Oryctolagus cuniculus: one gene and its partners. The protein of the gene in region 7 interacts with the protein of the main gene of each other region in a pairwise test. Links are inferred from orthologs where the notes say so. Each region holds a gene or a part of one and is shown on either strand. Other genes may lie near its edges. The genes, in order: CCNH, MKRN3, PNMA1, UBXN11, TRIM23, RAD54B and PSMA1.

What was found.
Region 1: the proteins of PSMA1 (region 7) and CCNH interact in binary tests that used the Homo sapiens proteins (3 or more experiments, as listed by UniProt). The two-hybrid records come from large-scale screens. The link is inferred for Oryctolagus cuniculus from reciprocal best matches to the Homo sapiens genes PSMA1 and CCNH.
Region 2: the proteins of PSMA1 (region 7) and MKRN3 interact in binary tests that used the Homo sapiens proteins (3 or more experiments, as listed by UniProt). The two-hybrid records come from large-scale screens. The link is inferred for Oryctolagus cuniculus from reciprocal best matches to the Homo sapiens genes PSMA1 and MKRN3.
Region 3: the proteins of PSMA1 (region 7) and PNMA1 interact in binary tests that used the Homo sapiens proteins (3 or more experiments, as listed by UniProt). The two-hybrid records come from large-scale screens. The link is inferred for Oryctolagus cuniculus from reciprocal best matches to the Homo sapiens genes PSMA1 and PNMA1.
Region 4: the proteins of PSMA1 (region 7) and UBXN11 interact in binary tests that used the Homo sapiens proteins (3 or more experiments, as listed by UniProt). The two-hybrid records come from large-scale screens. The link is inferred for Oryctolagus cuniculus from reciprocal best matches to the Homo sapiens genes PSMA1 and UBXN11.
Region 5: the proteins of PSMA1 (region 7) and TRIM23 interact in binary tests that used the Homo sapiens proteins (3 or more experiments, as listed by UniProt). The link is inferred for Oryctolagus cuniculus from reciprocal best matches to the Homo sapiens genes PSMA1 and TRIM23.
Region 6: the proteins of PSMA1 (region 7) and RAD54B interact in a two-hybrid assay, tested with the Homo sapiens proteins (2 studies listed by BioGRID and IntAct). The two-hybrid records come from large-scale screens. The link is inferred for Oryctolagus cuniculus from reciprocal best matches to the Homo sapiens genes PSMA1 and RAD54B.

Annotation. Positions count from the first base shown.
Region 1 is NC_091445.1:10,326,788-10,331,017, forward strand, and holds the start of CCNH (cyclin-H), read right to left. Parts: upstream 2,801-4,230; 5' UTR 2,710-2,800; coding exon 2,593-2,709; intron 1,396-2,592; coding exon 1,273-1,395; intron 1-1,272. UniProt on the Homo sapiens protein: Regulates CDK7, the catalytic subunit of the CDK-activating kinase (CAK) enzymatic complex. CAK activates the cyclin-associated kinases CDK1, CDK2, CDK4 and CDK6 by threonine phosphorylation.
Region 2 is NC_091443.1:13,380,112-13,384,353, forward strand, and holds the start of MKRN3 (probable E3 ubiquitin-protein ligase makorin-3), read left to right. Parts: upstream 1-1,442; 5' UTR 1,443-1,563; coding exon 1,564-3,111; 3' UTR 3,112-4,242. UniProt on the Homo sapiens protein: E3 ubiquitin ligase catalyzing the covalent attachment of ubiquitin moieties onto substrate proteins.
Region 3 is NC_091451.1:19,888,785-19,892,874, forward strand, and holds the start of PNMA1 (paraneoplastic antigen Ma1), read right to left. Parts: upstream 2,801-4,090; 5' UTR 1,750-2,800; coding exon 688-1,749; 3' UTR 1-687.
Region 4 is NC_091438.1:145,182,106-145,185,605, forward strand, and holds part of UBXN11 (UBX domain-containing protein 11), read left to right. Parts: intron 1-71; coding exon of another isoform or gene 72-123; coding exon 124-178; intron 179-534; coding exon 535-611; intron 612-3,216; coding exon 3,217-3,343; intron 3,344-3,500. UniProt on the Homo sapiens protein: May be involved in the reorganization of actin cytoskeleton mediated by RND1, RND2 and RND3. Promotes RHOA activation mediated by GNA12 and GNA13.
Region 5 is NC_091445.1:86,572,744-86,576,686, forward strand, and holds the start of TRIM23 (E3 ubiquitin-protein ligase TRIM23), read right to left. Parts: upstream 2,801-3,943; 5' UTR 2,588-2,800; coding exon 2,507-2,587; exon of another isoform or gene 2,075-2,506; coding exon of another isoform or gene 2,006-2,074; intron 1-2,005. Other genes in the region: TRAPPC13 (trafficking protein particle complex subunit 13), read left to right, coding at 3,288-3,333.
Region 6 is NC_091437.1:119,876,979-119,880,478, forward strand, and holds part of RAD54B (DNA repair and recombination protein RAD54B), read right to left. Parts: intron 1,489-3,500; 5' UTR 1,473-1,488; coding exon 1,338-1,472; intron 1-1,337. UniProt on the Homo sapiens protein: Involved in DNA repair and mitotic recombination. May play an active role in recombination processes in concert with other members of the RAD52 epistasis group.
Region 7 is NC_091432.1:51,702,962-51,707,037, reverse strand, and holds the start of PSMA1 (proteasome subunit alpha type-1), read right to left. Parts: upstream 2,801-4,076; 5' UTR 2,407-2,800; coding exon 2,404-2,406; intron 2,262-2,403; exon of another isoform or gene 2,026-2,261; intron 1,268-2,025; coding exon 1,223-1,267; intron 956-1,222; coding exon 854-955; intron 739-853; coding exon 635-738; intron 1-634. UniProt on the Homo sapiens protein: Component of the 20S core proteasome complex involved in the proteolytic degradation of most intracellular proteins. This complex plays numerous essential roles within the cell by associating with different regulatory particles.

The DNA of each region.
Region 1 (4,230 bases), on a different chromosome or scaffold from region 7:
TAGGAGTATCAGTTCCCGTCCTGGCTGCTCTAATATATCTATGTGTGTGTGTATAAGATTTATTTATTTGAAAGGCAGAATTAGAGAAAGAGGGAGAGATGGGGATCTTACATCTTCTGGTTTACTCCCCAAATACCTGCAACAGCCGAAGCTGGGCCAAACCGAAGCCAGGAGTGTCTTCCAGGTCTCCCACATGGGTGCAAGGGCCCAAAGACTTGGGCCACCTTTTGTTGCTTTCCCAGGTACATTAGCCGGGACCTGGATCAGAAGTGGAGCAAACAGGATTTGAACTGGCACCCACATGGGATGCCGGCGACACAGGCGGTGGCTTTAACCCGATACACCACAACACTGGCCCCTGCTCTGCTTTCGATCTAGCTTCCTACTAATGCACTTGGTAAAGCAGCAGATGATGGTCCAAGTATTTGGGACCCTGCCACCCATGTGGGGGACCTGGGCAGAGTTTCTAGCTCCTGCCTTCAGCCTGCCCCAGCCCAGGTTATTGTGGGTATTTGTGGGGTGAACCAGTGGATGGAAGATCTTCTGCCTTCTGAATAAATAAATAAATCTTAAAAAAATCTTGTCAGGGCCGTTGTTGTGGCTTAGCAGGTAAAAGCTGCTACCAGCAATGCTGGAATCTTATTCTGACCCGGCTCCTGGCTGATGACTTGCGAAAAGCAGTGGAGGATGATCCAAGTGGGTCCCGATTACCCATGTGCAAGACTTGTATGAAGCTTCTGGCTTTGGCCTGGTCCAACCTAGGCCACTGGGGCCATCTGGGGAGTGAAGCAGCGGATGGACATCTCTGCCTGTCTCTCCAAGTCTGCCTTTCCAACAAATAAATCTTAAAAACCAATCTGTGGCATGAATTTCAGCTGCAGCATATGATTACAACTGATAAATGAACACAGTATTTCAAACAGGTACCTTTGAAAAAGCACTGGTCTGCGTTCTGGTTCCAGTTCTACTGTTCACTAGTGAACAACTGGAAAGCAATTTGATTTTTTATTCTTCTATTGAATGAGCTGTCACTGCCTGTCTACTAGACCTCTAGGCTCTTTTGACTATGAAATGTGACTAAGAAATACTTTGCAAGACACAATACAGTAATTCATAATTTTTGGCCTTTATTGAAAAATATACAGCAAAAACTGAACAATTAAAACCAAGGTAAATTTTTGAGCAGTCAACAGAAAATTTATTAGATTTCAAAGAGGTCAGATTTCATAAGTCACTAAAAGGACATTAAACTCCAAAGCCACCATAACTTACCACAACAGACCTTGGCATTGTTGGCTTAAACACGGAACAGAATTCCAGTAATCTTTTCTCATAGTATTTGCAGAGTGTCATTTCTTCGTGAGGCTCAAGAAACACTGGATCATTTGGAAGAACCTTTTGATCAAAAATCAGAGCACAGGTTCAGTGAATTAAATACCGTCAAAGCCTTCTCTTACTACATTTAGCTTTCCTCTCGAACAAACACAAATACACCACGCCTCATTTTCTCTTTAGACTCGCTCATCATAAACAAAACAGCTTCAGGAAAACATGTCAGAGTGTATGTGGTCATTTCAATGCCTCAGACTGTCAGCTGAACTTCATGAAGCCAAGTCCGTGCATACGTATGCTAACAGATCTGATGCCATCGATTATAAATCGAAAAGCACACGGTCTTCCAGTGGTTGGCAAACTTCCAGCATCTCTCTGTCCGTCAACCATCATGTCACACAGCTGCGACAGGAAACAGTAAGCACCTTCACTACTTCTGCTGTTGTAAGCTACCCAGTCCTGGGCACTTTATTTTAAAAGTAGCGCTCGATCGTTAGCACAGGTGCAACACAGTGATAGCAAACACACGTGAGTTAGAGCAGCTCAGTACCAACAGGTCTGGCGCATGGGACCCTTGCTGGAGTGAGGCGTGTGCTGGGTGGGTGGGGGGTGGGGTAGGGGTGGAGCTGACGGATTAAAGCCGGCGGGGACCCCTAACGGAAGGGATGTGGCTATGGGGCCGTGGGCAGTCTTCAACTGGCTGGGCTCAGGGTCTCCTCTCTGCCTCGCCTGACGCGCTCCCCTCCAGGCTGCCTGAGATCGCCTTCCAGAACCAAGATCCCAGAAAGTTAATTTCCCGCTGGAATTTCTGCAAGGTTTCCCGCCTTTTCAGTACAGATTCCAAGTCCCTCGCCTGCCCTCCCCAGCCCCTGCGACCACCCCTCCCCCCCTCCGCAGCAGCAGCCACACACCTCGCACCGCCCGGCAACTTCTCGCCGCCCACTTTTCACCCGCGCGATCTCCCGCACCCTGCACCCGGGGGAAAAGCCTTCCCCGCCATCCCCTCGGGGCGAGTGGAAGGCGCCCGCCCGCGCGCTCTCAGCGTGCTACGAGCACTAGTTACTCGTCTGCCTCCCGACGCGGGGACTGCGCTGGCTCGACTCGGACCCCGGCAAGGCGCCCGCCCACTTGTCCAACACCCGCACGCACACCCGCGCCGCCGAGGCAGAGGCCGCGGGGGGCGCCCGGGGAGCTCCCGCCGCCGACCAGGCTGAGAGCCGCGCACCGCACCGGCCCCTCGCCCCTCGAGGGGAATCTCACCTTCCCGTTCGCCACCGCTTTGCATTTGAATTTGCGGTTGGCGTCGGCCCGCAGTCGGCCCAGCTGCTCCTCACTGGCGAAAGTCCAGTGCCTTTTCTGGCTGCTGTTGTGGTACATGGCGAAGTCCGAGCCCGAGCGCGGCGGGATCGCGGAAGCCGAGAGTGCGCCAGGCCGGCGGCGCGCGCGCTGACGTCACGATCACGTGCCGAGCCCTGCGCGGAGCAACCTGGGAGGGCGGGATGCGGCGCGGCTCCTGCGACGCACGTGGGCGGGGCCGCGGGCTTTCCCGCCCCCTCGGGTCAGGGAGCTGGGGACTGCGCGTTGGCCCTTGTAGCCGGTGCTTAAGGAAGCCTGGTCCGAGGGCACCCGAAGGGGACGAGGCGTGAGGGGAGGAGTAGGCTGAGGGAGATTCCCGAGGGAGGGTGACCGTGTTGAAGGGGAAGGTGTTTGAGGAGAGGCGGGGCACCGCCGAGGGAGCCGCGAAGTCGGCAGCCATCTTGCGTCCTTGAGGCCTGCAGCGGAGGCGTTCGTGGGTGTTTGGCGGGAGAGCCGAGGACACCAGTGTCCTGGGAGCCCTGTCACCATCCGAGAGCAGAACAGGGCTGGCCGACCGGAGCAGTGCACGTGGGACGCTGCCGTCTTGCCACTAGTGGGGCCTCGTCTGTCCGCCTCCCCTGCCTTCCTGTGGGTAACGCTTGCGCCCGCTTCCAGTTCCTCTCGGGAGCCGGGAGTCCTGGTGGTTGCGGGGTTCTCCTGAGATTCTCATCTTCGTAAAGGACTCTGGGGAGTCTTAACGATAACTACCGTCACAGAGGTTTACAGCTTCCAAAATTGCACTTGAGGTACAAAATCCGTATTAGTTAAGTCTTTGCCAGTTCTGTTTGTCGCATTTAAGGAAACCTAGTTCTGTGTATCAAAGCCCCCAGGAAAATTTCATCCAAAAATCAGATGATGATGACGAGACACGGAGTTTAGGTCTTGAAACGTCCACAGGGGTGAAAGCAGGTGGAAGATGACTTTACTCTGCTTTCTATGAAAATGTCTTACAAATTTAAGAAAGGGGGAGCCCCCCCCCTTTTTGGTGCAGTTGTGGTTTGCTACGGTTTTAGAATTCCTTAAATTTTATCATTTGTGGTTGATCATTTTGGAGATCCGTGCCATCGAACATGTGTCCGTAGTCTAGACCAGTGCATTGCTAAAAAGTAGGGAAGAGGGAAGAAGACGTGATGATGCTGAAGAGGACATGGCGGTCTGAGTCCAATGCACTATGGACAACTAAGAGCTGGTGGAGATGGAGAAAGAAGAACTTACAAGGAAGAAAGAAAAAGGTACAAAAGGCAGGCAGGGAGAGAAGTAATCCAGATAAGTAGAGTATGTGTGTGCAATCTTGGGTTTGTGGCAGTTCTGTGCATCATTTCAGTGGCTTTTGTTCTTCTGTGAGCTATTTGACAACTCCTTCGTTTTAAATAGAAGCAGCTACAAACGGGCATTTGGCAGAGTTGGCAGACTATGATTTCCACAGGGATCTAAGTCAAATTGTTGAGTGTCATGGTTCATTTAGGAAGATAAATATGAAAAACCTGGTGTTCCTGGTCTATTTTTTAAACCTTAAACAAATCGTAGTCTAAGAAAATTAAC
Region 2 (4,242 bases), on a different chromosome or scaffold from region 7:
ATAAGCTCTAATGCCTTTATATTTTTGGAGGAAATATTTTAAAAGCTTTAAATTAGAGGATTATATGATTCCATGTGTAATTTATAGATTTATATGCATATTTCTTATGCTTTTCTTATTTTTATTGATATGTTCTAGACATATGCCCATATCTAATAAATTTAAAAGAATGACTTAATCTTGTTCCTGATATCCTTTCATGATTTTTTTAATGTCTTTTGTTAATTAGTGATATCACTTTAAAAATTTCTAGTCTGGGTTATTCGAACTTTGTTCGTTTTTTCTCAAGTAATTTGGTACAAATTTATATTTACTTAATTAGGATTTAATTTGATGACATGGATAAATGTGTCATAAATATTCAGACTTTTTCACTTTAGAATGGAAATTTAAGTTATAAAAATTTCCCTCTAAGAAACTTATTCTAGCAAATACAATTCGTCAGCACATCCTAACACGGAAGGATTAATTATGAGACAAAGAATAAATCAAATGTTTGAAATGCTGGAAGTGCTAATGATCACATTCAGGGCATTAAAGGGAGAGGGAGCATAACCTCCTTAGAAACGCAGAGAGCTCTCCTGTAACATTCAGCAGACAGCCGCGCGCCCCTGAGCAAAGCAGCAGCACAAAGACAGTGACTGTGAAAGGAAAGGGAAGAAAGCAGCTCTCACCGTCAGGGCAGCGGCCGAGCCTGAAAAGCTGTGCTGACCCCGCAGCCTCAGCCTCGCTCGCTGGGCGGAGGGAACAAAGGCCACCAAGAATTAAACCAGCCGGGAAGAAAAGCCGGGTCGCGCCGGGGGCAGGAGCCTTGCAAGTCCCACAAAGGACGCCCTCGGCCGGGGCTGACAGCCTCAGCCACACGTGCTCCCTGCTCGCGTTTCCTCCAGCAGCCCAGGCAGACCCTGCAGCAAACAAAGACCCCAAGAAACGATGTCTGGTGGCCGCCGCGCAGCGCACAAAGCCCCCGCAGGGGCAGCCAGGGGGCAGCGGGACACCACAGTGGAGACAATGCGCGGTGCGCAGACAAAGGCGGTGTAAAATCCACGCAGGGCATGCTTCAGAAACTGCAGGATTAGCCCATCAGCACGTGGAGAAGCAGCGAGGATCGTGAACTTTCTTTACGCAGACACGTTTGACAAATAATCAGAAGTGCATGGCAGAAACTAAAGACATGGAATTAAAACCTCATCTGCCAGAGGAGACAGTGTGGGAGGGGGGCTTGGGGTCTGCGGGAAAGCAGCAGAGCAGGGAGCGACGCCAGAGGAGGGGGCGCGGAGCCCGCCTTTGCCTGTGTGAACAAAGGAGCTGTCAGATTGGTCGGCCGTGGAGACCCGGCGCCGCGCGCTGCCGGTGCCACCACAGGAAGTGTCCGCCACGCTGCCTGCAGGGGAAAGAAGGTAGGAACACACAGTCACAGGGAACAGAGAGTGGGGGAAAGGAAAAAAAGGTGCACACTTCCCCCAAAGACACCTCCGTGACCGTCCCGAGCTCCAGGGCTCAAGCCCAAAAGGAGACAGCACCGGGGAAGTTCCCGAATCGTTTCTGGGAGAAGAAGCTGCCATGGAAGAGCCTGCAGCTCCCTCTGGTGCCCAGGAGGCATCTGGGGCCCAGGCAGGGGCTGAGGCAGCAGGGGAGGGTGCATCTGGGCCCAGCCTCCCTGAGTGTGAGACCTCTGGGGAATCTGTGGCTCCAGACACAGCCCCTGCTCGCGCGGCCTTGGGCCTAGTCCCTCTCCGTGTGGCTCCCAGCCCAGCCCATCTGCGGATGGTGGGCCTGAGGCACGTCCAGGCCGCAAGGGGAGGGGCCAGGCCCAGTCACCTGCCGAGCCGGAGCACTGGCAGCTGGACAAAGCAAGTCGTCTGCAGGTATTATCTGCATGGGCTGTGCAAGGAGGGGGAGAACTGTCGCTACTCTCACGACCTTTCTGGCAGGCAGGTGGCCCGAGAGGGCCATGGCGCACCGCCCCGGGCCTCTGCAGACAGAGGCCCCAGCATGGCTGCGCCCAGCCAGCCCCCAACTCAGGAAGTGGCGGAAGCCGCCCCTGCTGCATCCTCAAGCTCCTTGCCTCTGATTGGCTCGGCTGCTGAAAGGGGTCGCTTCGAAGCCGAGTTGGAATGCGCTGGTCAAGGGGCTGTCGGAGGATCAGGTGTAGAAGGCTGGGAAGAGGCCGTTGAGTTTGTTCCCGGGCAGCCCTACCGGGGCCGCAGGGTCGCTTCTGTCCCCGAGGCTCCTCTACAGAGCTCGGTGACTGAGAGAGAGCAGATGGCTGTGGGCATGGGGCAGCAGATGGCTGTGGGCATGGGGATGCAACTTTGCCCTCACGCTGCCAGGGGACAGTGCTTTCGTGGGGAGAGCTGTATGTACCTCCACGGAGAGATATGTGACATGTGTGGGCTACAGGCCTTGCACCCCTTGGATGCCGCTCAGAGGGCAGACCATAGAAAGGCCTGCGTCGAAGCACACGAGAAGGATATGGAGCTCTCGTTTGCCGTGCAGCGCAGTATGGATAAGGTGTGTGGCATCTGCATGGAGGTTGTCTATGACAAAGTCAACCCCAGCGACCGCCGCTTTGGCATCCTTTCCAACTGCAACCACCCCTTCTGTCTTAAGTGTATCCGTAGGTGGAGACGTGCCAGACACTTTGAGAACAGGATCGTCAAGTCCTGCCCACAGTGCAGAGTCACCTCCAACTTTGTCATTCCCAGTGAGTTCTGGGTGGAGGAGGAGGAAGAGAAGCAGAGACTTATTCAGCAGTACAAGGAGGCGTTGAGCAACAAGCCTTGCAGATATTTTGCCGAAGGCAGGGGCCACTGCCCGTTTGGAGAGCACTGCTTTTACAAGCATTCATACCCTGAGGGCCAGGGAGAGGAGCCTCAGGGGCGGGGTGGTGGACCGTCGGCCGCATACTGGCATCAACTTTCGCAGCCTGTGCAGCTGGGAGAGGGCAGCCTGCTCTTTAAAAGCAGTAAAAAGGAGCTTGTCACGCTTCGGCTGGCCAGTCTGTTGTTTAAGCGGTTTCTTTCACTGAGAAACGAGTTCCCCTTCTCTGAGGAGCAGTGGGACTTGCTTCATTATCAGCTGGAAGAGTATTTCAACTTGAATCTGTAGTATCCTGCCACACTCTGATCAAGTCTGCTGGGGCTTTGTCGTCTGCTGTTGGCTGTTTTCCCTTTATTGACATGCCTGTCACTTTCAGGGGCTGTGGTGGCGACTTTTATGCAGTGTTTCTCTGTTTTCTTGTCTATGCCCCGAATCTTTCCCCTAGGGTAATGGTGGTTTCATGTGTTAAAAAATAGTAAAGAATCCTTAAAGTTACTGTTTGGTGGAGCTAATATGACTGTTGCTTTGTGGGGTTTTTGTCATGTCTGTTTTTCAACAAAGTTCACTCAGTCCTAGTCTAGTGTTTACAGAATTTCTACACTCATTTTGAAGTCCCTCAAGAACAAATGTGACAGGGTGAAAGGGAAGTCTTAACTGGAAGCTTTTTGCTACAGTAGCCTTAAGAAGTGGACACTCGCAGGGCCTTGCTTGTTTTTGTTTGTTTACATCACTGCTCCTTCTGGCATCTCTTAAAGTGCACTTGTTAACTTGTGGTTACTTTGTGATTTCGTGTTTTACTTGAACAAAACCAGGTGCAAATGTTTACATGTTTTTATCCTGTTCAACTTGATGTGAAGTTATTTTATTTATATTTGGAAGTATGTGCTTAAAAGTGATATATTATATATGCATATTTGTGTATATTAGCTCTGTATTGGAAAATTTATATAAAATATACATCGTGATGTATATGTTTGCATAATAAAATAAATGCAGAGATGAAAGCTGAGGTCAAGGGATAGCAGGCTTGGCTGCTGTGTGAATAATCTTTCCCTTGCACAGATGTCACTTTTTAGCACCTAATGAAAACTGTTGTTCAAGTGTAATGCCAAGTGTAACAGATACAAGTCTTAAAGGATATATGAAACATGACATTGGTAATTCCTATGACCTCACTGTGCTGTTATAAATACAGAAATGTGTACTTCCATGCAGTAGAGCCAACAGCTCATTCATTATAACATAAAATCCTGAGCTCAGACATACAGTTGTTCATTTTCATTTTTTAAATATTATTTTTATACTTTGAAAACGGGCTTTTCATAAATTTATCAAAATAAAGGTAATAAGCATACAACATGTAAAATAGAATAAAATACTAAAACTAGTTAGGATATAAGATTGGAAAGATAAAAGAAT
Region 3 (4,090 bases), on a different chromosome or scaffold from region 7:
GTTCAAATGTAGAACATTTAAAATCTGGGTGAACAAGAACTATTTTGACAAGGACTGGAAGGGGAGTGGGGGGATGGGTGGGTCACTGTCACCGGGTCCTAGCCATCTCCCCAGGTGGTTTCTCTGCGCGACCTCTGATCAGCACAGCTCCGGAACTGCAGTCCTTTTCCAGCGCCCCAGCTGGAGTCTCAGAACACTCTGTTCCACAGATCCGGCTCTTTAAAGATGAGCACTAAGAGATTTGCACTGTGAGGCTGAGCAGTATTACCTAAACAATGCACGTTTCTTTCCATTAATATAAACATGGAATGATTTACAGTCAACACACACTAGCCTCGACGCTGATAACAATGTGATGGTTCACGGTTCCTGCGAGCCAGGCCCTGGGCTAAACATCTGCACGTGCGACTTCACATTTATCTCCATGGGAAGAGTCACGGGTTCACACTTGTCACAGCCGAGGGTGCCGGCATGTCGACAGCGGGCGCCGCAGCCAGCAAGCCCATCGGCATTGTAGCAGCTCCCCATGCTCTGTGCAGTGTCGGCGGAGTTACAGGAACGGGCAGGCCAGAACCCCCTCCCTCCAAGAAAAACACAACGAAAACAGCAGGCAGCTAGGCCTTTACTACTCGGGACCAGGACAGCAGCTGCGGGCCGGGTCTGCACGGCAGCCCTCTTTCCTGGGGCTCAGAAGTGCCCCTCCAGGCCCAACTGCAGGAGCGCGGCCTCAGCCTCCTCCTCCTCCTCCTTGGCCTCCTCCTCACGGATCTGCACCAGCAGCTGGAAGAGGTTCGGGGCCGGCCCTTCCGCAGCGCCGGTCAGCCAGAGCTGCCTTCGGAGGGTCCCGCTGTGGTTGGCCCCGGCGATGACCTGCTCCAGGCGGGCCTGGTTCACGTTCTCTTTATCAATGGCCCCCTTCTCCACCACCTTCTGCAGCAGCGGCTCCAGACGAATGACGTAAGCCGACAACTTCTCTCCCGGGTTCTGGTACGTGTTCAGAAACCTGACCTGCGCATCCCTAGAGCTCTCCACGCTCCCGAACACCTGCTCCAGCGCCTTCAGGCACTCGCCGGTGGTGATCGCGGGGTTGCTGGTCTTGAGGATGCGGATGACGTCGGCGGCGGGGCCCCGGAGGCTCTCCATCAGCCGCCGCCTCTTTTCTGTGTCGGACACCTGCCACTCCTCTATGACTTCATTAGCGTGCTCCAGCCAGCAGTCAAAGCTCTCCTCCCCAGGCCCCGGGATGTCCCTCCCCGAGAACAGCGTCAGCTTCTTGTACCATATGGACTCCACGAGAGGCTGAATAACATTATCCAAAATATAGCTGAGCATCTCGGCTGGCATTTCGGGGCCCGGGGCCGGGGCCGGGTTCTGAAACCCAAGGACGCGGGCAACATCTTGCACGGTCCACCCCTCCCGAGCTAGGAAGAGGTGCAGCCTTTCTAAAAATTCAGCGTCAGACGTGGGGGGCTTAAAAAGCACTTTCCACACCCCTCCTTTGCCAGGCATCTCCCTGGGGATCGCGGCGTAATCCACAGCGCCAGTGAGCTCTAATAAGGCTGCTTTCGCGTTCTCTTCCCTCCAGAACATTCTCCCAAGCACTCGATACGGCACCTGGGGCATCGCAGCCTGGAGGGTCTCTTCGATTTCAGCCTCATCACAGTTCACTAGGATCCCCCAAACCAGCAGCGCTCTCTGGGAGTTCACGTCCATGCCCCTGCACCAATCTTCCAACAGCGTCATCGCCATGTTCCCAACTATCAAAGGTACCGATTCGACAGATACGGATCAGACTGCGGCTCCCCGAACTCCAACCAACACCAGACACTCCCCGCAAGCAGGCGCGCGGGCGGCAGGTCCCCGCGGTCGCTGGTAACAAGCGACACCCAAGCCCCGCTGTCCGTCTGCGGCTCCCCGGCGCGGCCTCGCAGGGGCTCAGTCAGTCACGCGGCTGTCGCCATCTCGCGTCCCGGGTCGGGGTCTGCGGCCCCAGAGTGCAGCCTGCGGGAGCCGCGGGGCCCGGGAGCGCCGGGGTGTGGCCGCGGGGCGTGGCCGCCGCTCCCGGAGTCGCCCCGGCGCTGGCGGTCCGAGCCCGGCCCTCAGCGGGGCGAGGAGCGGCAGCCCGAAGGAGCGCTCGGCGTGCCGGGCCCGGCGGGAGAGGCTGTCCGAGGTCACCGCGGCGGCAGCCGGGCCAGCCGGCGAGCAGCGGCTTCTTCTCGGGCGCGGGGACCCCTCCGGACAGCGAGGACCGCTGAAAACCGAGGGCTGAGGGGAGCAAAGACGCAGGAAGGATGCAGAAGCGAGGCGGGAGGCGAAGGCTGGTGGGGCCGGCCGGGCTCGCGTGGCGCGACGGGCTGCGGCGGCTGTGGCGCAGCTCGGCAGCCGGCGCGTTCCCGCCGCAGTGCAGGGCGGGGCCGGCCCGCGAGCCGCGGCCGCCGCACCGGATCCAGGTCGCCGGCGAGGCGCGCGCGCGTGACCATGGCAACGGTGTCCCGGACGACGCGCTCCCGAAGACTCCGTGCGCAGCGGCGCGGGGTGGGGGGAGCGGTTGCCATGGTACCGCAGCCATCAGATGTTCCAGACTTTTACAATGAAAAAAAAAATACCAATAAGCATCGAGGGCTTCTGTCTTCTAATCCGGAGCGGATTTCAGATACTAGTGGGTATCACCCGTGGTGGCTGACTTGCTCATGCAACTGGCGCATCAAGCCAGGTGCGTGGACGGCATCTCATCCAGAGGAAACGAAGGCTCCCAAGTATCCCACTTGTGTGACACACAGACTGGACACTTCCTCTTATCTTTTTTTTTTTTCTAATTTTTTTTTTTTTTTGACAGGCAGAGTGGACAGTGAGAGAGAGAGACAGAGAGAAAGGTCTTCCTTTGCCGTTGGTTCACCCTCCAATGGCCGGTGCGCTGCGGCCGGCGCACCGCGCTGATCCGATGGCAGGAGCCAGGAGCCAGGTGCTTTTCCTGGTCTCCCATGGGGTGCAGGGCCCAAGCACCTGGGCCATCCTCCACTGCACTCCCTGGCCACAGCAGAGAGCTGGCCTGGAAGAGGGGCAACCGGGACAGAATCCGGCGCCCCAACCGGGACTAGAACCCGGTGTGCCGGCGCCGCTAGGCGGAGGATTAGCCTAGTGAGCCGCGGCGCCGGCCACTTCCTCTTATCTAACACTTAGTCAAAAGGCCGGCCACCTACCTACCTACAGCTGGCAACGCACCAGTATTCTGTAATCCCTGCCTCGGGTACTCTTCAAGCCAGAGCAAGGGCCGCTTCGGTCAATCTCAGAGGATGAAAATCCCCCAAAAGAACACAGCATCCAACTCTGAATTTTTAAAACCTTATTTAATGAAAGGTTTAAAGATACAGAAGAACATTCAAAAGTAAATAAGTTACATAGGTACATTACAATCACATCAGCAAGATTCTCTTTAGTGTATTAATTTTTATATAAAAAGCACACAAAAAATAAAATCTTCCATCTGCTCTATCACAACTGTACAGCCAAAGAGGTAATATTTATATATTTATATATATGTACACCATTTTCATATGTAACAGTCTTTTTTAAAAAAGGTTGCCACAGGCAGCAAACACACAAAAGGCAGTGTCTGATCATCTGTTTCAAAATAAAAGGAATATACTTCTTTATATGCTATTAAAATATTTGTACAATAATTACAGACTGTCAAGGCTGTCCCCTCCTACAAGGCCTTCAACTTGGAGACAAATGAGTAAAAGGTGAAACAGAAACAGCTGCAAATCGTTAGAGGCAAACAGTAACACAGCAAAATGGGGGGGGGAGGACACTTGTTTTATAAAAATATGCACACTTCCTGTAAACCTAAAGGAGTCAGGCTTGCCAGTCTAGTAATAAATACTGTCCAGAAAAGCGGGCCCCCGTGGAGAGGGTGCTAAACAGCCGAGGCTTCGGGATGTGTTGTGTTCCTTCTTCATCTAGGCATCTGGCACATGAGAGATCAGGTCACTGAGGCAGTTAAGTATGGGCAGTTCCTTTGGCCGTGAGCAGCACGAGACCTCCGTGCCTGGGCGGAGGTGCGGCGGCAGAGGGGCGAGTGTGTGCCTCA
Region 4 (3,500 bases), on a different chromosome or scaffold from region 7:
GCAGAGGCAGGACCTTTGTGCTCCCCAGGGCCCCCCCACAGGCACAACCTCTGCATCTTCCTACCCGGAAGGCGGCTGGGGAAGCGCCGGGCCTTGCGCTCACCCTAGGCCTCGCTGCTGCAGGATCAGAAGATACTGGCCCTGGAGGACTTGGTGAAGACCCTCCAGCAGCACCAAGGTAAGAGGCCCTCCTGGGGGCTGATCCCCCGGTCGGGACCTCCCTTGGCCCTGTGCCCCTGGGTGGGAGCGTAGGTGGTGAGCAGCAAGCTACTCCCTGGTGGGTCTGGAGAGCTGAGCCAGAGCTCGGCGCCGACAGCTGGAGTCAGAGTGCCCTGAAGGTAGCTGCACTACCCAGAGCGTGGTGGAGCCACAGCACTGAGGGGCGAGGCAGGGTGCCCTCAGGGGAGCGGGGAGAGAGGGCAGAGATAGAGGGGGTCCCCTGCAGGTGGTTCCTCAGGGCCCCAGATGGCCCTCAGGGCAGAGGTGGCCTGGAAGCTGGAACAGCCAGACCCCATCCCCATCTCCCCACCAAAGGCGAGGCCTCCCAGCAGCGGCAGGAGGAGCTGGAGACGATGTGCGCGCAGCTGCAGCGGCAGGTCGGGGAGATGGAGGTGAGGGCGGGCCCGGGGACGCAGCAGTCCGCAGCCCGCAGCCCCAGCTCCAGGCTGTCTGCCCCTTGGGACGGGGCCAGCACCTACTTCTCTGGGCCCCTCCACACCAAGCCTCCCCCTGGGGGCCCTGCCCCGTGAATTAACCCCGAGTTCACAGAGCCACAAGTGTCCAGGGCTCACCCTGTGAGTCTGAACCGCCCTAAGCACACCCCGCTTGCCTCCTTGGCCTCGGGGCTCCCGGCTGGGCTCAACGCCAAGGGCCTCCCTGGCCCCTGCTGATTCTTTGAACACGCCCAGTCTGTCCCGCCTCGGGACCCTGGCCCATTGCTGTTCCCTGGCCTGCAGTGTTTTTCCTTCCTGCCCCAGCCCTGTCCTGTGCTTTCTCAGTACCTCCCTTCTCTGCCGTGGACTGTGAACTCCGGGGCGGGCCACCTCCCTCCCGATCCCAATCCCCGGAGACTCATCAAGGCCATCCCCTATCTCTGCCTGTGACTTCTTCCTCCCACGCACACACCCATTCAGACTCCAAAGCTTGAACTGGAGGGGCCAGGAGCAAAGACGTGTCCCAGGTACACACACGTCCCAGGCATTCCCACCCTGCCCTGGCAGGAGCCAGCCTTCCTCTCCGAGCACAGAGTGGGTTCCTAAAACCCCAGTGGAATCCAGGGCCACAGAGGCCAACCCCAGAGCCTCAGCTGCAGCTGGGAGCACCTGTCGCTCCAGGCCTGTTGGTCCCTGGGGCTGTGGGTAAACACAGCTGCCCCCACCCCCCAGGCTGCTCCGAGCCTCTGCTGCAGGGGCTGAGAGGCTGTACCCCAGAGCCCCTGGTGGGAGGGCATCACTGGCTCTCACGAAGCAGGTGCTTAGCAGAACCCGCTGGGGGCAGCACCCTGCAGTGCCTGTTCTAGTGCCTGGTTGGAAATCTGAACAAGACAGACATGGTCCCCACCCTCAAGGGGCTGACAGCGTGGAGGGGACGAGACATTAACAAGTACATGAAAGAGACACAGAGACAGGGAGTGCTATAAGATAATCCCGTGTGTGACACACTGGAGACGGATGGGGACGAACCACTGTGGAGGTGACCTTGGCCATGAGATCTGGGGGATGAGGGGCAACCAGGGGCAGAGGACCCAGGCCAGAGACACGAAAGCCTCCCCTTCTGCCGGGTACACTTGGCTGATAGCGGTTGCTGGTCATGGGCAGCAGGAGACCAGAGGCCGGAGTGGCCCCATCACGCAGGACTCGCTGCCCGTGGTGCGCGTGGATTCCACTGGGAGGGAATGGGAGACCACTGGGGGTGTCAGAGCGACATGAGGGGAGGACCCTCCTACTGCGTGACGACGGGGACACAGGTAGAAGCCGTCTCCTGGTTGTCCAGGAGCGTGACAGTGGCCGTGGTCTGAGCTGGGAGGCAGCGCATGGGGCAAGAGGGGTCGTTCTGAGGCTGCTTGGGAGATGGCAGCCACAGGCCTTGAGGGGCATCCGGGTGTGGTGGCAGAGAGGGGAGCGGGTGCTGGATGATGCCTGGGTGGAGGGGGCGTCACTGAGACAGGACCAGGAGGTCCAGGGCATGGGGGCGGGAGCCGTGACTGTTCAGTGATTGCGAGTTGCATGGCAGGCATTAGAGTCTATGTGGTTGGAGACGGGAGTGTGGAATTCAGGCTGGGATCTGCTTTGTGGTGCAGCAGGTTAAGCTGCCGCTTGCAGTGCCAGCATCCCGTACTGGAGCGCTGGTTCAAGCCCTGGCTGCTCCACTTCTGAGCCAGCTGCCTGCTAATGCTCCTGGGAAGGCAGAGGAAGCTGGCCTAAGTACTGGGGCCCCTGCCACCCACATGCGTGACCCAGATGGAGCTCCTGGCTCCTGGCTTTAGCCCAGCCCAGTCCTGGCCGTTGTGGCCACTTGGGGAGTGAGCCAGCAGATGGAAGATTCTCTGCCTGTCAAATACATAATAAATCCTAAAAAAAAAAAAAAAAAAAAAAAAAAAAAGTCATAAGGGAGTGCTGTGGACCTGCAGTGTCGCTGTCGCTGTCGGGTGGAAATGGGGAAGCAGCAGGGGCTGGCCAAGGAGCAGCCAGGCGGGAGGAAGCCCAGCCGCTGTTGAAAGAGATGAGGACAGAGGTGCGCCCGCTGGGTTTGGCAATGGGCAGGTGGTTGGTGGCTGCACCATGAGCAGCTTCAGTGAATTGTGGGTTGAGGAAAGAAGGGGAGAAAAGGAATTGGCAACAGGAGGTGTAGACGATTGAAGTTCTGTGGCAGAGGGGAGGGAGGCCAGGCCCTGGGGAGGCCGGCGTGTGGCTGGTCCCGTCCTCAGAGCCAGGGTGTCCCCAGCCCCTCACGCTCAGGCTGACCCGCATGGCTGCCCACAGCCACAGCGGCCGGCTTTCCTGCTCAGCGCTGGATGTGAACTAGGTGCTGTGATCTCCTGAGGCTCCAGGAGGTAAAAGGCTTTCCAAGGTCACAGCCAGGAAGCAGCCACGGTCTCAGCCCATCCCCTTGTTCTGTCAGCTCTGGGGCTGAGCCTGGGGACGGAGCCAAGGCCACTCGTGCCCTGGGAAGGGACTGAGCTGGCAGTGTCCCCAGCATCACCTCCTTTCCCCACAGCGGTTCCTCAGCGACTATGGGCTGCACTGGGTGGGCGAGCCCATGGACCAGGAGGACTCCGAGGGTAACATAGCCTCAGAAGATGGCGGGAAGGCCTGGATGACAGCCAAGAAGTTCTGGAAGCCAGGTAGCCTAGAGGCTGTGCCCCAGACGCCCTCAAGGGGGATCCTCCAGCGGCTCCCAGCATGCCCCGAGGGACCCCTGACACAGCACGCGGGAAAGGCCTCAGCCTTCATCACTGACCAAGACGCACCTTGCTCTTCTGCAAGGGCCCCCGAGGCCCC
Region 5 (3,943 bases), on a different chromosome or scaffold from region 7:
CATCGTTTTAAAAAGGAAGACAAAAGCTCCACTTCATCAAATTTAATACAGAAAAGATATTCACAATAGAATTAGGCAGTATAAAATAAATCTAAGATTTTAATAAATGCTCTCATTATTGAATACTGCATGTTAAATTTATTTCTGACAATAACCTCAAAAGAATAAAATTAAAACTTTGCTTGGGGTCGGCACTGTGGCGCAGCAGGTTAAAGCCCTGGCCCGCAGCATCAGCATCCATATGGGTGCCAGGTTGAGTCCCAGGTGCTCCACTTCTGATCCAGCTCTCTGCTGTGGCCTGGGAAAGCAGTAGAAGATGGCCCAAGTCCTTGGGGCACTGCACCCATGTGGGAGACTTGGAAGAGGCTCCTGGCTCCTGGCTTCAGATCAGCTTAGCTCTGGCCATTGTGGTCATCTGGGGAGTGAACCAGCAGATGGAAGACCTCTCTCTCTCTCTCTGGCTCTACCTCTCTCTGTAACTCTGTCTTTCAAATAAAGTAAATCTTTAAAAAAAAAAAAAAAAACTTTCTTAGTTCATTCACACTTATACTTCTGACCCATCACTAAACAAGGTAACTTGCTCATGTTGTTACTATAGGTTTTTTTTTTTTTTTCAAAAACCATTAGCATAATTCCATTTAGTAAGCCAACCACAGGTCCAAAAATTATTCAGGTATCAACTTAGTAGATAGTCTTTCCTCAGTATCTATGAACAGTTATTGAAGAGAACAGTGTAAGAAATTAAATCCTAGATGGGGGGTGGTAAATTTCATACTTCACAAGAAAATTTCAACTTATTACATGTAAATCGAATTTGAACAAACCAGATCATACTTTAAAAGGACTATAAGAAAGCTTAGGAAACAAAAGAAACTTTGCAATTAATTTTAAAATGTAAATAATTTTGCAATATCAGATTTTGTTTTTCCTAACAATAAAAACCCTGCCATTATCAACTTGGTCACTAAACAAGACAGCATTTTACAAAGCATTAGCATTATAAATGTCAACTTTCACTTTCTGATGAATTTCTTCTTTCATCAAAAAGGACTATCTTATTGCACAGTTCAGAATATTTTACATGTTAAAATAAAAATGAACATGCTAAAAATGCTTCTAATATATCAAATTCTGTAACAAATTCTGCATCACATTTTGGTACTTTTTTTCAGATTATAAAGCAAACAAGGTAACAGAAATGTAAACGATACTCCAATTATGGAATTAAACTTCAAGTCAATTCACAAATAATCTTCAGGTATTCTCTATTTATCAAAAGCACAATTCAATAAATAAAATCTCACCCATACAACATGCCTAATAATGAGGGCTCCTCTGTATCTCAGATATGCTGCTCTATATATTCAGAATAACTTAATTACTACATAAAGGTCAGCTGAATCAACAAGCAATAATAATGACTAAGTTGTGGGCAGAAATGTGTCACTTGCTGTTATATAAAACCAACATTAGGTGAGAAAACATAAGTGCCTACTAATAAGCAAAAGGTCAAAAGAACTTCAGATATTATCTAGTTCAACAATTCTCAGCCCTGGTTGTACATCAAAGTCACTCTGGGACTGAAATATGTGTAGAAACGCCAACCTAATAACCGCAGAAGTGCGCCATTCCTCCACAAAAGGCCTCGGTGACCCTGACATGCAGTCAGGAACGAGAATTACTAATTGCTTATAGTATTACCAATTGCTTATAGTATTACCAATTGCTTATAACATTGACAATCCCGAAGGTTGGCATGAACCATTCAGATCAGTTCTCTCTGTCAAATCCTCCGATATTTTCAGAGCACAGGGAAAATGAGTGCCATGTGTTTCAACTGACTTTTCGGTAAGTGCATTTTTGGAGCATTATACATGGTAGCATCCCAACCTTCCAGCATAGGGCCATTCAGGCACCCCAGAGTTAAGATTCAACTGTACTGCCATTGGAGACTTCTCAACCATGTCGACAGGCTGTACGGCTAAGCGGGAAAGGCGCAGCTCACCAGTAACAGACGTCTAATCACAGAAGCTGCGCCGTAGTGGACGCCGCAGGCGTTAAAGTCGCACACCATGTTAACCGAAACCTGGGTTTCCTTCCTGCAAAACGAGAGCTAGCATCCACCTCATGAGTAGATGCCAACCAGCTAAAACCCCTAACACAGTACCTGGAGGCTATAATGGCTCAATTCTACAAAACCAAGCGAGTTAACGCCTCCTAGGCTCAACTAAGATAGAGGGGCTACAGAAAGAGCGGTCCGGGCCACTCCCACAGGCCCACAGCTCCCTCTCACAAACGTCCCCGCTGTGCATGCTGGCATCTGCAGGATTAGACCCGGCAACTTCGGGCCCGGGGATCCAGGTCGCGGACGGAGGGACGCCAAGACCTGCCTGCCAGGCACACAGGGACGCCGCGGCCGCGCCTGGGCCCCAGGGATGCCGCCCAAGTCTCCCGGATGAGCCGGAGGACGGCCGAAGCGGGGAGCGCAGTCCGCAGAGTCCCTCACCTTCACCACGGCCGTCCCCCGGCTGCCTTGCCGGCCACTGTCCGGCCCAGCTCCAGGCTTGTTTACCACCAGAGCAGCCATCCCGGGCAGAGCAGCGGCGCAGGAGCAGCCCTCGGAGCCTTCACCTGGGAGGCGGGGTCGAGCCACCTACCCAGAGGCCTCCGCGCACGCCGCTGGCGCACAGGCCCAGTACGACGCGGCCCCGCCTCCCGTCAGCGGCTCCGCCTCCCGTCAGCCTCGGCTGGGTTGGAGGCACAGTCCTGCTCGTGTTGTTTTTGTTCCTAAGAAGCCTGCAACTGCTGAAAGAAAAAAGTCAAAGGAAAAAAATGGATAACACATAATTAAAGTTTAAAGGTGAAATTCCCGGCCCGGTTATGAGTTCGGCTCTCTAATGGCAAACTAGCCAAGGCGGATACTACATCTCCCTTCATGCAACGCGACTTTTGCTTGCACTACAAATCCCGGCATGCCACGTTCTCGCCCTTTTTTTAATCTCTAAGAGGCCGCGTATCGTTACAGTGGTTGCTTCCAGTCGCAATGTGTGATCGTAGACGGAAAACGCCGTATTTTCTGTGCAGATCTCCAAGAGCCAAAGGATGGCTTTGGTGAAAAGAAGCCGTTGGGTCCGTAAAGGACGCAGTGAAAGGAGAATTTAAGGTACAAAGAAGCTGTTGGGAGGACGTTTGACGCCTGTTCTGCCCGACGTACGCTTTTTTTCCCTTCCGGGCCAAGTTGAACCTCTTCAGCCCCCGTAGGCCTGGAGTCAGACGTGCCGGTCAAAATGGAAGTGAATCCCCCCAAACAGGAGCACCTGCTGGCGCTGAAAGGTAAATGTGTGCCGAGGTACCGTTGTTCTGTCTTATTCCCTTCTCTCGCAGTTTCCCGAAGGCCGTTGCCACACAGACGCGACCTCTGTGACAGGGGCCAGGCCTCAAAACACTCGGTGCCCGCCGCCCCGCGCTGCGTCCGGCGCGAGCAGGAGGAGGCGACTTGGCCTCTTCGCGTTTCGCTTTCAGAGCTGCTTTCTGGAACGAAACAGACACCTGGTCGTTCTCCCTGACCTGTGCTGCTGCAGTCACCAGATGTTTGGATGCAGAGCCGAGGCCGCGCCCCTACTGGGGAGACCTCTGCGAACCGGGGTGCATTAAAGCAAACATCCGAAATGGCTTTTCCTTCCGTCTCTCGTCTCTTAGTGGGCACTGGGAAGTTACCAGGTTTCAGGTTTATCTGGGGTGTTAGCACTGCGTAGCAACTGTGCGAAGGATTTAGCAATACATAGCCCTGCCACGCGTAACGTAGATTTGTTAAAATGTACGGCTGACCGTCACCGCATTGGGTTCCTAATCTTAACCGCAGATCGCAAATATTTGAGTCAGATTATGTCTGTGCTGAAGGTGTGCAAGCTTTTCCTCCTATCAGTATTTTCTGAACCGGTAT
Region 6 (3,500 bases), on a different chromosome or scaffold from region 7:
CACATTCCTTTCCAGAAGCTACATGTTTTTCCAAACTTCCACAAACCACCCACATGCCCTAGCTTGCGCCCCACCACCACCACCATCTTGAAAGCCAGCTGTATTGCATTTCTCTGCCCCTACTTCCATAATCACTTCCATAATCACATAATCTCTGACTCTCTTGACTCCTCCCACTTTTAAGGACACTTGAGATTATTTGGGGCCCAGTCAGATAATCCAGGACAACCTCCTCATCTCAACTGAGGTCTTTAAAATTAATCAATTCACTAAAATCCCTTCTGCTATGTAAGGTAACATATTCATATTCCTGGAATTAAAATATGAACCTTTTCAAAACATGTTTATTTACTTTCACCCACTTCAAAGACAGAGTGACAGAGAGATCTTCCATCTGCTGGTTTGTTTCCTAAACGCCTGCAACAGCCAGGACTAGGCCAGGCCAAAGCCAGGAGCTAGAAACTCCATCCAGGTCCCCCATGTGGGTGACAGGATTATAATCATCACAATAAATTTACTGTTAGCGGCTACATTTTCAAAAACCTCTGATAAGATTTCAAAGTAAGTCAACTAATGGAAGTCACAAATTTCATTTTTGCAACAGTTTTATTTTTTTTTACAGGCAGAGAGACAGGGCCGGCACCACGGCTCAATAGGCTAATCCTCCACCTAGCGGCGCCAGCACACCGGGTTCCAGTCCTGGTTAGGGCGCCGGATTCTGTCCCGGTTGCCCCTCTTCCAGGCCAGCTCTCTGCTGTGGCCCGGGAAGGCAGTGGAGGATGGCCCAAGTACTTGGGCCCTGCACCCCATGGGAGACCAGGAAAAGCACCTGGCTTCTGCCTTCGGATCAGCGCAATGCGCCAGCCGCAGCGCGCCAGCCGCGGCAGCCACTGGAGGGTGAACCAACGGCAAAGGAAGACCTTTCTCTCTGTCTCTCTCTCTCACTGTCCACTCTGCCTGTCAAAAAATAAAAAATAAAAAAAAATTTTAAAAAAGGCAGAGAGACAGGAGTTTAGCAGCACAGTAGTTAAGATGCCGCTTGGCACACCCACATCCTGCTTCAGAGTGCGGGGGTTCTGGTCCCAACTCCAACCTCAATTCTAGCTTCCAGCTATTGCGTATCCAGGGAAGCAACAGGTGATGGCTCAGGTAGTTGGGTCCCTGCTTCCCCTGTGAGAGACCTGGATTGAGTTCTTGGCTACTGAATTCAGCCTGGCCCAGCTGCAGCTGTTGCAGGCATTTTGGGAGTGAACCAGTGGATGGAAAATCTGTCTCTCTGCTTCTCAAATAAATAAAAATTTTTTAAATACAAGTTTCTCTGTATTATTTTTTTTTACCTTAAATAACTTTATATCTGGATTCAGTTTTATAATTTCTTCTTTTGGACTTGGATTACTTCTTCCTGGGGGTAAAAATTTTAGTCTTTTGAAGGAATTCCCCTGCAACTGACTTGGTGCTGCAGATCGTCTCATAGTCAATAGTACTGACCTGAAAAACAGCCAAAACAGAAATAATTCATGAGTCTGATTATGCACGCACTATCCAAACATTTTCACACTGCAATCAGACTGCTCTAATGTTCCCTCTGAGCTGTGTAAACAATCCACACCTGACCTCATATAAAGCTCATAGTCGAAAGGCAAGTGTTGGGGCTGGTAATCTGGCACAGAGATTAGACGCTACTTGAGACACCTGTATGCCATATCAGAGAGCCTGGGTTGGAGAGGCAGCACTTCATGGCTTAAGTACTGGGCTCCTGGCTGTGGCCTGGACCAGGCCCAGCTGTTTTAAGCACTTGGGAAATGAATCAGAAAACAGAAATATCTTTGTCTTTCTCTGCCTTTCAAATAAAATGAAAAGCAAAAATAAATTTTTAAATCTTAATTTTCTTTAAAAAGGCAATTACACTTAAAATATTGCATACAATTACCCTTAGGCTATGTGTATAAGGTATATACAAAACAAATGAATTCTGTGTTCTGACTTGGGTCCCATCCCTAAGATATTTCATTATATATACAAAATATTGCTAGTTATTTCAGATAAAGGATACTAATATTTCATTTATTATTATAGCAAACACATAGCTAGCACTTAGTGTTCGTCATATGAATGAATCTACAGCCATTAATGACAAATACACACTTTTTAAAAGAATGTTTAGGCTGGCGCCTTGGCTCACTAGGCTAATCCTCCGCCTGTGGCGCCGGCACACCAGGTTCTAGTCCTGGTCGGGGCGCCAGATTCTGTCCCGGTTGCCCCTCTTCCAGGCCAGCTCTTTGCTGTGGCCAGGGAGTGCAGTGGAGGGTGGCCCAAGTGCTTGGGCCCTGCACCCCATGGGAGACCAAGATAAGTACCTGGCTCCTGCCATCAGATCAGCGCAGTGCGCTGGCCGCAGCGCGCCACCTGCGGCAGCCATTGGAGGGTGAACCAACGGCAAAAGGAAGACCTTTCTCTCTGTCTCTCTCTCTCTCACTGTCCACTCTGCCTGTCAAAAAAAAAAAAAAAAAAAAAAAAAAAAAAAAAAAAGAATGTTTAGGGGCTGGGATTGTGGCACAACAGGTTAATCCAAGACCTGCAACTCCAGCATTCCAATGTGATAGCTAGTTCAAGTCCCTACAGCTCTGTTTTCCCTCCAACTCCTTGCTAATACACTTGGGAAAGCAGTGGAAGATGGCCCAAGTGCTCCCGCTGCTAAGTGGGAGACTGGATAGTTCAGGGAGTGAACCAGTGGATAGAAGATGTCTCTCTCTCTAACTCTGCCTTTCAAATAAATTTAAAAAAAAATTTTTTTTAATGGCATGAGAAGTGTTTTGGATGCAACAAATGAAAAACAGCCACATGTTCAGTTTCATTCCAACTTTTTAAAATAGAGTAAAAAAAGAAAATCAATAACATATGCATATATACTCTATTTTTTTTTTTTTAAGATTTATTTGAAAGGTAGAGTTAAAGGAGAGACAGAAAGAGATCTTTCATCCACTCATTCATCCCCTAAATGGCCACAATGGCCAAGGCTGTGCCAGGCAGAAGCCAGGAGCCAGGAGCTTCTTCCAGATCTCCCATGTGTGTACAGAGGCTTGGGCCATCTTCCGCTGCTTTCCCATGCACATTAGTAGGGAGCTGGATCAGAAGTGGAGAAGCTAGGACTAAAACCAGCACCCATATGAGATGCTGACACCACAGGCTGTGGCTTAATCCACTGTGCCACAGTGCTGGCCACACATACATACTTTTTTCTTTAAATTTTTTAAAAAATTGCCATCTGCAATGCCAACATCCCATAGCAAAGCAATGGTTCGAGTTCTAGCTGCTCCACTTCCAATGTTGCTCCCTGCTAATGCACCTGAGGAGACAGTGGAGGATGGCCCAACTACCTAGGGTCCCTTCCACCCACGTTGGAGACTCCAGTGGAGTTCTGGATGCCTGGCTTCTCCTGGATGAGGCACAGCCATTACAGCCTTTTGGGAAGTGAACCTAGAGATGGAAAATCTCTCTTT
Region 7 (4,076 bases):
AAAATGATACAAAAGTGTCAAGTGTTTCTTAGACATAACAGAGTCTCAAACAACACATGTTACTTTAAGTTATCACATTATTTGATGACTTCTCAAGTCTTAGTACCAGTATGTTGAATTCTATTAGTTACTATTACAAGAACCAGGATATGGAATATTCAGAAACTAACCCAATCCATTAAGATAGTCATAATATTAACTTATAAACATTCTGGCAGACAACTTCCCAACATAGTTTACCTCAGTCTTTTCATGATAAGTAAACAATTATGAGTCAGGGGCCAGTGCTGTGGTGCAGTGAGTTAAGGCCCTGGCCTGCAGTGCTGGCATCCCATATGGGCACTGGTTCAAGTTCTGGCTGCCCCACTTCCAGTCCAGCTCTCTGCTATGGCCTGGGAAAGCAGCAGACAATGGCCCAGGTCCTTGGGCCCCTACACCCATGTGGGAGAAGCTCCTGGATCCTGGCTTCAGATTGGCTCAGCTCTGGCTGTTGTGTCCATTTGACTAGTGAACCAACAGATGGAAGACTTCTCTTTTTGTCTCTACCTCTCTCTGTAACTCTTTCAGATAAATAAAATAAATCTTTAAAAAATATTATGAATCAGAGATGTTTGTTTTTCAAAATCATACTCACCATAACAGCCTAGCATCAGCAGTAAGCCCCGCAATTGAAATACCAATATGGTTGTCAACATGGAGAATTTTTTTCTGATGAGCTGCAAGCTCTGACTGTGCCCTCTAAATAGACATCATAAAAGATAAAAATAAGTTTAAAACTTTACTGCCTACACAGTGAAATTTTCATTTGATAATTTTGCTTTCTAAAGGAAGATATATTTATTGCTTTATTTACCTTCAATGCAACCAACACTGCATGGGTTTTTGATTTCAGACCAACTGTGGCTGAACCTTGCTTAACAGCTTCCATTGCATATTCAATTTGATGAATCCTGCCCTAAAGGGAAAAAAAACACATGTCTTAGAGTCACCTTAGAAGAGTTTCACAAATTAAGAATTAAGAGTCCTCAAACCTCAAGAGCACTGTTAAATCTCAAATGACTTTTTTTAAAACCAGAAAATGTATTGAATTATAAATTTAAGTTATGGGAGTGTCTAAAATGAATATATCCCATTTTCTCACAGTCTACAATCACACAACCTTCTAAACATATTGCAGCCATGAAAAAGCTCTTGAATGGAATAGTATGAAACATTATCTTACCTGAGGACTCCAAACAGTGACATCATTGTCATACTGGTTACGAAACTGAAAGTAAAAAAAAAGATCAAATTATTGTCAGAACCCTCCTCTTAATATTAAGAAATGTGTGATTTCATTACACATTAAAGTAACTGTTAAGGCAAACTCACTGGAAGATTACTACTATACTCAGTGGCAAGCCAAGTCTACAATTTCTATGAGCTGGGGAGGAAGGAACAGCTCTAAATGGGTCTCATCTTTCCAACTTTCTACCCAGCCACTCTCCATAGCGCTCCCTTTGGGTTCAACTATTGAAGTTTATATGCATCAAACTTTTTCTTTAAATGAGCTCAAATGTCTATCTCTTGAATTCTTCTCCCAAAACCCTCACAGCACGAAGTCCCACAGCTCTGTACACATCCTTTTCTATCTTAAAATTAAGGTTAGGGATATGTCTGATTATCTTTGAGCCTCCCCTGTACTTGCACTTTTGTACACATAAAATTTTTCTTTGTTACTTTGGGCTAGATACGAATAACTACGATACACTACTGTTTTAGACAATCTTCAAAAAGGCCTTTCACTACTTGGCAGAACAATCACAGGGGAGAGCGGACTGAACGCTGGACTCTTTGGCGTGGGACTTGAAGCCCACAGAACTACATTATAATCCTGAGTCCATCATTTCCCCTTTCAGGATAAGTTCACTCATTTGCAATCAGGTGACTGGACAAAGTGAAAGAGACCTTTTCTGATCGCGCCCTAGGGGGCTGATAAGTCGGACGGACCCACCAAGGAAAGGGACGCGATCTAAGGACACACACCCTGGGTCTAGACCGCCCCGGCGGTACAAGGCCGCCTCCGAGTCAAGTCCCGTCTCTCTATCGTCCAGAGCACGAGGGATCGTTTTGGACCTCTGGGAATCTACTCCGGTGAGGGAACTCGAGAGGCGGACTCGACCACTTCATCGAGGCCTTGAGAATAGCGAAATGCGCCGTGAGGAAAAGGCTGCACCGGCTACCGACCGCAGCTCGCCAGGCCAGGCCGGAGATGCTGAATCACTGCCGGAGCCCTCCCGCAGACTGGGGTTCCCATGCCCCGTGGCCTCGGGCCGCTCTAAGAACGGCAGGAGAATTGGTTCGCCATCCCCAAGTCACTGGGACCTCTGCCCTAAACCTTCGAAGGATCGGGACCCAACGCACCATGGTTCCGTCGCCGGCCTGGCTGCAGGACTCCTAGCGAAGGTGCGGAGTAAGGAACGCAGCCGAAACTACCGCTCGGCGATCTACAGAAAAGGCTGCGGGGTTTTGACGGCGGCAGCGCAGGGTAGATCAGTCTATTCCGGAGCTATCGATAGGTTTCCAGCGCTTCCTCGCGCCCTCCTGCGTGGGCGGGGCCCTGGGAGAAGGAGGAACTGAGATTGGCGGGAAACGTAGGCCCCGGAGTGCAGGCAGTGGCTAAACAGCAGCTCGTAGCCCGTCCTGGAGTCTCAGGTTCATCGTCCTCAGAGATTTGAGCTGTGTGTGTCTGAGAAGAACGAGGCTTCAGGAAAGGCCACAGAATAACGCCTGTTTATGTGTGTCAGCCATACTCTTCCTCGAGTATCTTGCTGGTGTGCGTTCTTTGCTTTGCACTTATGAATCCTCTGCCTTCCTTAAATCTCTTCTTCGAAGACCCTGATACCAGCAGCCCTTCATTTTTTATCACTGTTGTTTTCCTCCTCCGGACTTTGAACTACTGTCTTTCCATGCCCTCAGAACCAAGCAGACACCCGATAGATTAGATTAGGCCGCTGAGAATAAAAGGACTTTTTCTTCTGAATTATCTATTTTCTTTTCGAAAGGATCTTCTGGCAAATCCCCAAATGAACTAGTTTGAGACAGCTCTGAGCATAGCTGCCAATAACACCTACCAACTGGTAATTCTCTTTTTAAAGAAGAGGTGAGTGCCTAGATTAAGGTGACATTGGAGCTGAAAGCATCCCTTCGGGATGAGAGTTTTGCATGTACAAGAACTGGCTCAGGTGGTGTGGTCAGGTTCGCAGCAGTGTAGAATCACACTGTTTAGAAACCTTTGCATGTATGTGTTTGAACGCTTTCTTGTCTTCAACATTTTGCAGGTCAAACAAAGATGCCCTGGTATTCTGCATTCTGAACATATATTTACCCAGATCCCTATTGTTTGATATTTAGGTCCTTCCAAATAACTCACGAACTGTTTCCTATATATGTTTAACATCCATATTCTTTTCTTTTGAGTCAGTTCTAGGAAATGGAATTACAGGTTCAAATGAAATGTATAATTTTAAGGCTTTTCATGAAAAGAGCTAAATTGGCTTTTAGAAAAGTTTTACTGTTAGGTCCTCAACTGTAGTATATGGGGTTGCCCCCCTCAAATTTGCAACAATGGTTATTGTCATTTTTAAAGTAACAGATTAAATTAATAGTTCATCTTTTTGATGTACACATTCCTAGCATGTATGAAGTGCTTAATAAATATTGGCGAAGGGAATAAAGAATGTTGAATGAGTGACTAAATGCCCATTTAAAAATTGTCATGTAACATATTTATGGTTATGTGTTGCATACAAATCTGTCAGTTCTTTTACATATAAAATTATATTAAACTATTTTTAATACTATTAAAAAGTTATAGCCATTTTGTTTTCATAAATATTTCTGAAATATTTATGAAATGTCTATTATATTTTCAGTAGTTGTATAGTGTTCTATTGTGTGGAAATGAGATAATTTACCTTACTATTGGTGAGCAATTAGATTCTTTCCAAATTTTTGCTATTATAAAAATACCATAATGATGATTATACATTATTTGGTGTACTTTCCTGATTACCTCCTTATGATGAATTCATAGA